Oryctolagus cuniculus: one gene and its partner. The protein of the gene in region 1 interacts with the protein of each later gene in a biochemical or structural test. Links are inferred from orthologs where the notes say so. Each region holds a gene or a part of one and is shown on either strand. Other genes may lie near its edges.

Region 1 (3,647 bases):
ATATTATAATCAATGTTTGAAAGGAAACAGGAAGTCCCTAATGCAGAGATCACCTCCCTCTCATCCTACAAGCAAACACATCCAACAAATCTTCAGAATGGAAGCGGATTCAGCAAGATTTTCCCTCCACCAATCTAACTCCTCTGCCTCGACTCCAATTTCCAAGATGGCAATTCTCAGCTCCTTTTAAAATATGTGCAACCCATGTCCACCCTTTGCCAGACCTGATTCCCTTTACCGGCCATCTGACAGTTATAAAGTGACTGGTGGAGAGTTTAATTTTCACAACAACCATCTCCTGAAAAAGTCTGAATGAGATCACAACCACAGCAGACCATGTGTTGCCTTAAAAAAAAAAAATCACTCCTTCACTTTATTACACCTACTTCATGTTCACTTTGTCCTAACCAAGGCAGCACACGAGATGCCTACCTGAATTTTATATTTTTAAGTACTAGAGGTTAAAAAAATATGCCCGTTTTCCAACTGGTGTTCAAGTTTTCATAAATATTTTCCATCATACCTGATTAAGTCAAATGTAATGTGTGTGTGTGCGCGTGTGCACGTGTGCGCGCACGAGCGCTTCAGTATAAGCTGCTTTTGCATATTCATGTCTCTCCCGATTTCAAGCTCCTGACTAGAACAGACCCAGTTCTTCTGACTTTGTTTTTGAAGTCTCTCCATGGCACATAGAAAAAATGTATCTAAATTTACAGAGTAAATGTGGCGCTCTCAACCAGTTCTTGCTTTATTTTTCTGATTTCCTTCATTTGTTCCATTAGGAATCTATAGTCTCTCATCTTGCAATTGCTTCTGTACAGGGTAATAACTTTCCGGAGTGGTGAGTTGGTGGAAGGGCCCCAGAACACACCATAAGTTCCTATCCACAACTTAGCAGGAGGAGGGAGAAGCAGACCACCATTCAAGAATATGCATTTTCCCTTCACCACCAGTGTGCTATTTTTGACAAAGTTTTTTGTTCTTGAAATCAACAACTTTCAAATATTTATTCTGAAAGTAAATTCCTGGAAAGTCCTGATTAGACCACTCAATTTTGAACTATAAGGCTCATTTTCTTAAAACTAATATACAAAATTATTCATTTGCTGAATAACTTTCACTGATCTTCTCCTTCTACAGATCCTCAGCATAGACTTTTTATCACAGTATCCATATAAACCACATTTTCCTCTTGAGGAAATCATACTTTGAGAATTTTATTTTATAATATCTATAGCAAGAATGAAAAAAAGTGAACACTTTGGGACGAGTATTACTTTTCTCCCGAGGACAAAGTCATCTTAATATGAAGGTCAACATTCAGGGCTTAATTCTTCAAGGAATCAATACTTATAGCTTCATTTTTATTAGATTTGAATAAGAGGATGAATATTGCTATTTTGTGCTGCATAACATTTCTATGGGAAAAGATGTGGTCTGACCAACTGGATGTTATTGGCACCCACTGCAGATGAAGCCAAATGTTCCCTGGGAGGTAGAATTCCACAAATGCAAAAGAACCCCAAGTCTGAATTAACCACTCAAGCAAAAGAGCACCTACCTGGATTAACAGACAAAATGTATTGAAAATATATATATTTAATTCTTTCTCTATACATTTGGAACAAATCAAGTAGGCATAAACCCTAAGACGCTCCTATTAAATACAAACTATTATAATTCATTCATTCAGAAAAAAGAAAAAAAAACATAATATTGGCTCTGCCTTGCCATTAACTAGGTTTTGTGATGTCATCATATTATATAGCTCAATTTTAGCTTATTGTTTAAAAAAATCCATATCTGATTTCTAGAGAGAACATCAAGTGATATTTCCTACCTGCACTGAAACTATTCTATTGAACATCAAAACCAAAATAAATGGGAGAGAGCTGAAGAATTTATGCAACTTTGGCATCCGCAGTAAGTAAGGGTCATGGGACTAGAGGATTAATTAAATAAGAAGGTGAGCTATAGTTTAGTAACAATGGTTCATGTTTGTTTGATGGGTATGTTTAGTGAGGAGTGGGTAGAGCTGCTTCTATGTCAACACTATCCAATTACATTAACACTAATGAGAGAGAGACCTGGAGAGACACACACACAAAGAGAAAGGGAAGAAGCGGGGGGGAGAGAGAGGGAGAGGGGGAGGGATAAAAGGTAGGCTTTAGTATACTTTACCATCCCCAGGAATGATGCGAAGGGTAACCGTGTTTCCTGCTTCCTTGATTAGGTTGACAATGTCTGAATGGGATTTGTTGGTGATGGAACATCCATTTACTGCCAAGATCCGGTCTCCTACTTTCAGCTTGCCACAGCGGTCAGCGGGGCTCCCCTCAATAATCCGACCTATTTTGTGAGGCATAGCCACACATGCATTGCCTGCTTTGATATCGAGTTTTAATTGTTTTTAAAGTTACGTGGGAATATAGTGAAGGGAGGAGAAAAAGGGTTGAAAAGGGAAAGAGAAGGTTAAGTGTTAATTAATTAAAGCATTAAGCAAATGTTATTCAAAGGAGAGCTCGGCGCCCATGGTCCGAACATTGGCGAACTCCTGGCTAATAAGGAGTGCGTCCCCGAAACCAGACATCACGGCTGCAGTCTTTCCTGATTCAACATGGACGGAAAACCCCAGCTTCTCTCTTCACAGCAATTACAAAATTTGGGAAATCTGGCAACTTCGGAAATTCTCTCAAGAGCCCCTAAATAACTCAGCGCCAGCTTATTTTGGGACTGCCAATGTGAAACCCAGAGGGAGGCTGGCTGCCTTCACTCATTGTGTGTTCCCATCACTTCATTTTTGCCAGCTGTTGTGCAAGCTTCTGCCAATGTTTAGTTCTTTTTCCCTTTAGAAAAACAATCCCTGGTTCTGTGGTGAGGCATGAGAGTCGGCTAGCACAGAAAATTCCATCTGCGAACACCTGATGGGCAAACACTGGCACTTGGTACCTTCTCTCCAAAGCTTTAGGCAAAGGGCATCATGACAACAGATGCACCAAGAGAACACCTAACGTTGAACCTCACTTTTCCTTTCAGGATCTTTGCTCAATCAGCCCATCCTGGGTGCTTCCAAGGTAGGGCTGGATTGGCTCTCATCACCTCTGAAATCTTGCTCCTGCCTCGCAAAGATAACCTTAAGGGAAGATGAAAATCAAGTACCTGATTCACAGTAAGGTTCGAATAATTCCCCAACCCTTTCCCTCTCATGATCGTCCTTTTCATCACCAGTTACCATATGCCCACATTAAGAAAAACCAGGAAAAGGGCATCTGAAGAGGAAGGCTGATTGTGTGAGCACTCTGAGGCACTCAATGCTATTGTTAACTTCTAGAGAGTGGTGGGCAACTGGCTCTGCAGCCTGGCGTTAAGTTTCTAGCTGACCATACACTGAGTTTGAAAGCTGTTCATGCAGGTTCACTTATTTTGAGAATTTGCCAATCTGGGGGACCATGAAATCAGTTACGCAGTTGAGCCACCTTTTGGAAAGGAAAATAAAATTAACATGGAAGACCTAGAATCTAAATAGGTTCTTCCACCTTGAGGGTAAGTCTAGACCTTGAGGGTAAGCTGTATAGGAAAATACACTTTAATTCCTTAGAATTTCTGCAAACTGGCCTGACTTTGCGTCACTGGATATGATGTCAAGG
Region 2 (3,747 bases), on another chromosome or scaffold:
GCGTGGCCCCGACGTCGTCGTCCTCCTCGTCCGAGGCTGCCCCGGGCGACGGTGGCGGTCCGGCGCGCGCGAGGCAGCCCGAGGCGCGCGGCCGGGCGTGGGGGTTCGCATGGCACCCGCGGGCGGCCCGGCGCGCGCAGCAGAGCAGGCGCTGGAAGGCCTTGCGGAAGTCGGGGCTGCGGCAGTAGATGATGGGGTTGAAGGCCGAGTTGGCGTAGCCGAGCCAGTTGAAGAAGACGAAGAGGCGGTCGGGCACCAGGTCGCGGTGGAAGGCCTTCACCACGTTGGCCAGGAAGAACGGTAGCCAGCAGAGCGTGAACACGCCCATGATGATGCCCAGCGTCTTGAGCGCTTTCTGCTCGCGCAGGGCCACGAGGCGCGACGGCCGCCGCTTGCTGTGGCGCCCGTTGGCCAGCGCGGCCGCGGAGCCGGAGCCGGGGCTGGAGCCGGGGTCCGGGCGCGGGGGCCCTGGCTCGGGCGCGGGGCCGCTGAGGAAGCGGCGCTCACAGCTGTCGATCTTCTTCACCTGCTTCTGCGCCTCTCGGAACACCCGCAGGTACACGAAGGCCATGACGCACAGCGGCACGTAGAAGGAGACCACGGACGAGGCGATGGCGTACGCCCGGTTGGTGACAAAGTCGCAGCACTTGGGGTCGTTGTAGCAGCGGCGCGCCTCGTCGCCCTCGGCCCGCCACCAGTGCATGAGGATGGGCAGGAAGGACACGAGCGCCGAGATGGCCCACACGGTGCACACGAGGGCCCGCGCCCGCGCGCGCGTCAGCAGGCTCTGGTAGCGGAAGGGCGACGTGATGGCGAGGTAGCGGTCTAGGGCAATGACACACAGGGTCTCGATGCTGGCCGTCACACAGAGCACGTCCACCGAGGTCCAGAGCTCGCAGAAGAAGGAGCCATACTCCCAGCGGCCCCACACCACGATGGTGGCCCCGAAGGGCACCACCAGCAGCCCCATGACCAGGTCGGCGCTGGCCAGGGACATGATGAACAGGTTGGTGAGCGTCTGCAGCCGCGGTGTCTTCGCTATGGCCACGATCACCAGCACGTTGCCCGCCACGATGAGCAGCACCACGAGCGCCATAAGCAGGCCCATGCCAGCCGTCCACTGCTGCGACAGCAGCGCGGGGCCCTCGCTGGCGGGAGGCAACAGCGAGGCGGGCGGCGACGCGGGCACCAGCAGCCGCGCCGCCGTGGCCGCGCCGTCGGGCAGTGGCGCGGCGGACGACAGGTTGCAGGGCTCGGAGGCGCCCAGGGCGAGCGCCCCCGCGCTCATCCCGAGCTGCGGAGGCCGGGGGCGGGGGGTGTGGCGGAGCTGGGCCGTGGCTGGGGAGCCCTCCGAGAGGCCGTGCCGGCGGGGCGCGCTGTCGGAGGTCGCGGCCAGGTCAGGGCAGCTGCGGCGCGGAGCCCGAGGCATCGGCTCCGGGCGCCCTCCCCGCAGCCGCCGAGCGCTGTCGCCGCCGCCGCCGCCGCCGCTGCTGCTGGGGCCGCTGCCGCTGCTGGCAGAGCCGCCGGGACCTCAGCATGTTTCTGAGCGCGCGGGGCCCGCGGCCCCGGCACCCAGCACCCACCCCCCGTTCCCACCTCCCGAGCCGGCCCCCGGGGCCTGGCGTCAGGCTCCTGCAGCCAATCGGGGCGAGGGCACGCCCCCTTCTCTGCCTCCCCACTCCCTGCTACCCCGACTCCCCGCACCCCCTCCTACCGGCGATTGAGCGGCTCGGGGGAGTCGGGGCAGAGCGTCCAGCCAGCGCCTCTCGGGCGCCCGCGGGTTCCGCCGAGCGCTCCCTTTCCTGCGCCCGCCCGCTCCAGCGCCCCGTTCCCCTGCGCCGCCTAGGGCGCCCGGCTCCCGGCCGCGTCCCCGCCCCCTCCCGCGCTCGGCTCCCTCCCGCTGCCCCGCTCTGCCCACCCCCGCATCCCCTCTACCTCCGTTGTCCGGATTCCCCGCAGCACTGGGCGCCGGCTCCCTTAGGGGGCGGCGAACGTTGACATCCTCACGGCTCCTGGGCGCCTCGAGCGGTCTTGTCCGCCAGGGTTGGAGGAGATTGGTTCTTGGGTGTGTAGAGTCCTTCCTCCGCCAAGGGGGCACCGGGCCAACCTGCGTCGCGCCAGCCCTGCGAGATCGGAGGTGGGTGTTAGCAGGGAGAGGAAACTTGGCAGCACAGCGCGTTGCGGGAGCAAACCGCGCACCTGTCTCTGCGCGGGTGCGGCGCTTGCGAGGAAGCGTCTGTTGTACTTCGGGTGCAGGAGATGTAGCAGGGGCGAAGGCTGCTGCATCCAGCAGCCAACGCGGAGGCTGAGCTGGAAAAACACACACTTCCTAGCCCCTGCGCGTGATGCAACAGTGTGTGTCCACGCCGTGAGGGGAGAGGCTAGGGAAACACGCATGTTAACGCGCACGCAGACAGACCACCTCCACTGACGCTTTAGGCTTCCCACATTCAGTCACAACACCTGCATTTTGTGAGTTATTGCACGCAGGTTTTTATACTCAGGGCAGTGTGGATTGCAGACTCTGAGGCACTGACAGTTTTGGTTGAAGCAATGAACTGGGATTTTGGATTTTTTGGTCTGGGTGGCGGTTTGTTCCTTTACCCAAGTTCCCAGATTCTTGCAACTCTGGGGTTAGTTTTGAAGGGATGAGAGAGAGAGAGAAAAAAACCATAAATCCTCAAGGGGATTAAAACCCCAAAGCATTTAAAGTTATACCAGTGGTTTCTGAGTTGGCAAATGGGTTCATTTAAGGGTTAGAGGGTTGTTAACCTAGTTGTAGGTGGATTATATGGAGGAGAGGGGGAATGGTGGGGCCAGGAGCACACAGGGCAGAGGGAAGCAAGCCCTTTCTCTAATTTGGCCCTGGTAAGGAACTTAGCTCAGGCCTGAAAATAAACAAAAAACCTTTAATTAGATCCTTGTGAAGTAAACAGCTCCCGATCATCATGAACGTGTTATATAACGCTCACACATCTTTACGGCGTTAGAATAAAAAGAACAGCATCTAGAAAGAGCATCCACCACGGCCCAAAACCGTGCTCCTACCTTGCCAGAGAGAGGCGAACAAAAAGGAATGCTTGTTACGTGTGCAGACGTCAGACCGTTTGCACCAGCTTCTTGAGACTAGAGAAATGCAAACACATGAATTTGCTTTAGGCCTAAGCATGATCATCGAAGCATTCCTACAACCCGGGAGTGATTAATTTGTTTATTCACCCCTGCCCTGGACTCAGCCCAGTTTTGCCAACTTGGGGAGGTTGATGTGGGGGAGTCAGGAAGAGAGGAGCTGGAAAGAGGGAGGAAGGAGACCGGGCCCTTAGTGACTCCACTCCTTGCAAGTCCTCCCTTTGGCCCGGTGAGAGGGGGAGCTAAGGGGTGGTATTAAAATAGCCAAGGGATTGGGTGGAGTGGAAATTGATGCTGCCCAGGAAAGGGCTCTGAGTGCTGGGTGGGGTGCAGGGAGTGTGGGGAAAGCTGCTGTCTACCCGGCGCAATCCTCCTGCCAAGTGCTGCTACTGGAATAGAGTGTGTCAACCTCAAGTGCCCGCACAGGGCCAGGGCGCAGGGCGCAACACGGCGAGAAGGCCTGACTGTGGGTGCAGGGGCTGGCGCAGAAGCCGGGTGCAGGTGACTTCACTGTGTGGTTACTTGCACGAACGTCCTGGGCATCAGCATGGCCGGAAACCTCTCTCCTGGCTCTCTCCCCTACTCATTCAGAGACACCACAAATACGTACATGGAATT

What was found. The genes of interacting proteins can lie anywhere in the genome.
Region 2: the proteins of MAGI1 (region 1) and ADRB1 interact in a test that uses a peptide from one of them, tested with the Homo sapiens proteins (2 studies listed by IntAct). The link is inferred for Oryctolagus cuniculus from reciprocal best matches to the Homo sapiens genes MAGI1 and ADRB1.

The regions. Positions count from the first base shown.
Region 1 is NC_091441.1:84,208,490-84,212,136, reverse strand, and holds part of MAGI1 (membrane-associated guanylate kinase, WW and PDZ domain-containing protein 1), read right to left. Parts: intron 2,386-3,647; coding exon 2,182-2,385; intron 1-2,181. UniProt on the Homo sapiens protein: Plays a role in coupling actin fibers to cell junctions in endothelial cells, via its interaction with AMOTL2 and CDH5. May regulate acid-induced ASIC3 currents by modulating its expression at the cell surface.
Region 2 is NC_091446.1:16,246,940-16,250,686, forward strand, and holds the start of ADRB1 (beta-1 adrenergic receptor), read right to left. Parts: upstream 2,463-3,747; 5' UTR 2,200-2,462; intron 2,124-2,199; 5' UTR 1,936-2,123; intron 1,512-1,935; 5' UTR 1,430-1,511; coding exon 1-1,429. UniProt on the Homo sapiens protein: Beta-adrenergic receptors mediate the catecholamine-induced activation of adenylate cyclase through the action of G proteins. This receptor binds epinephrine and norepinephrine with approximately equal affinity.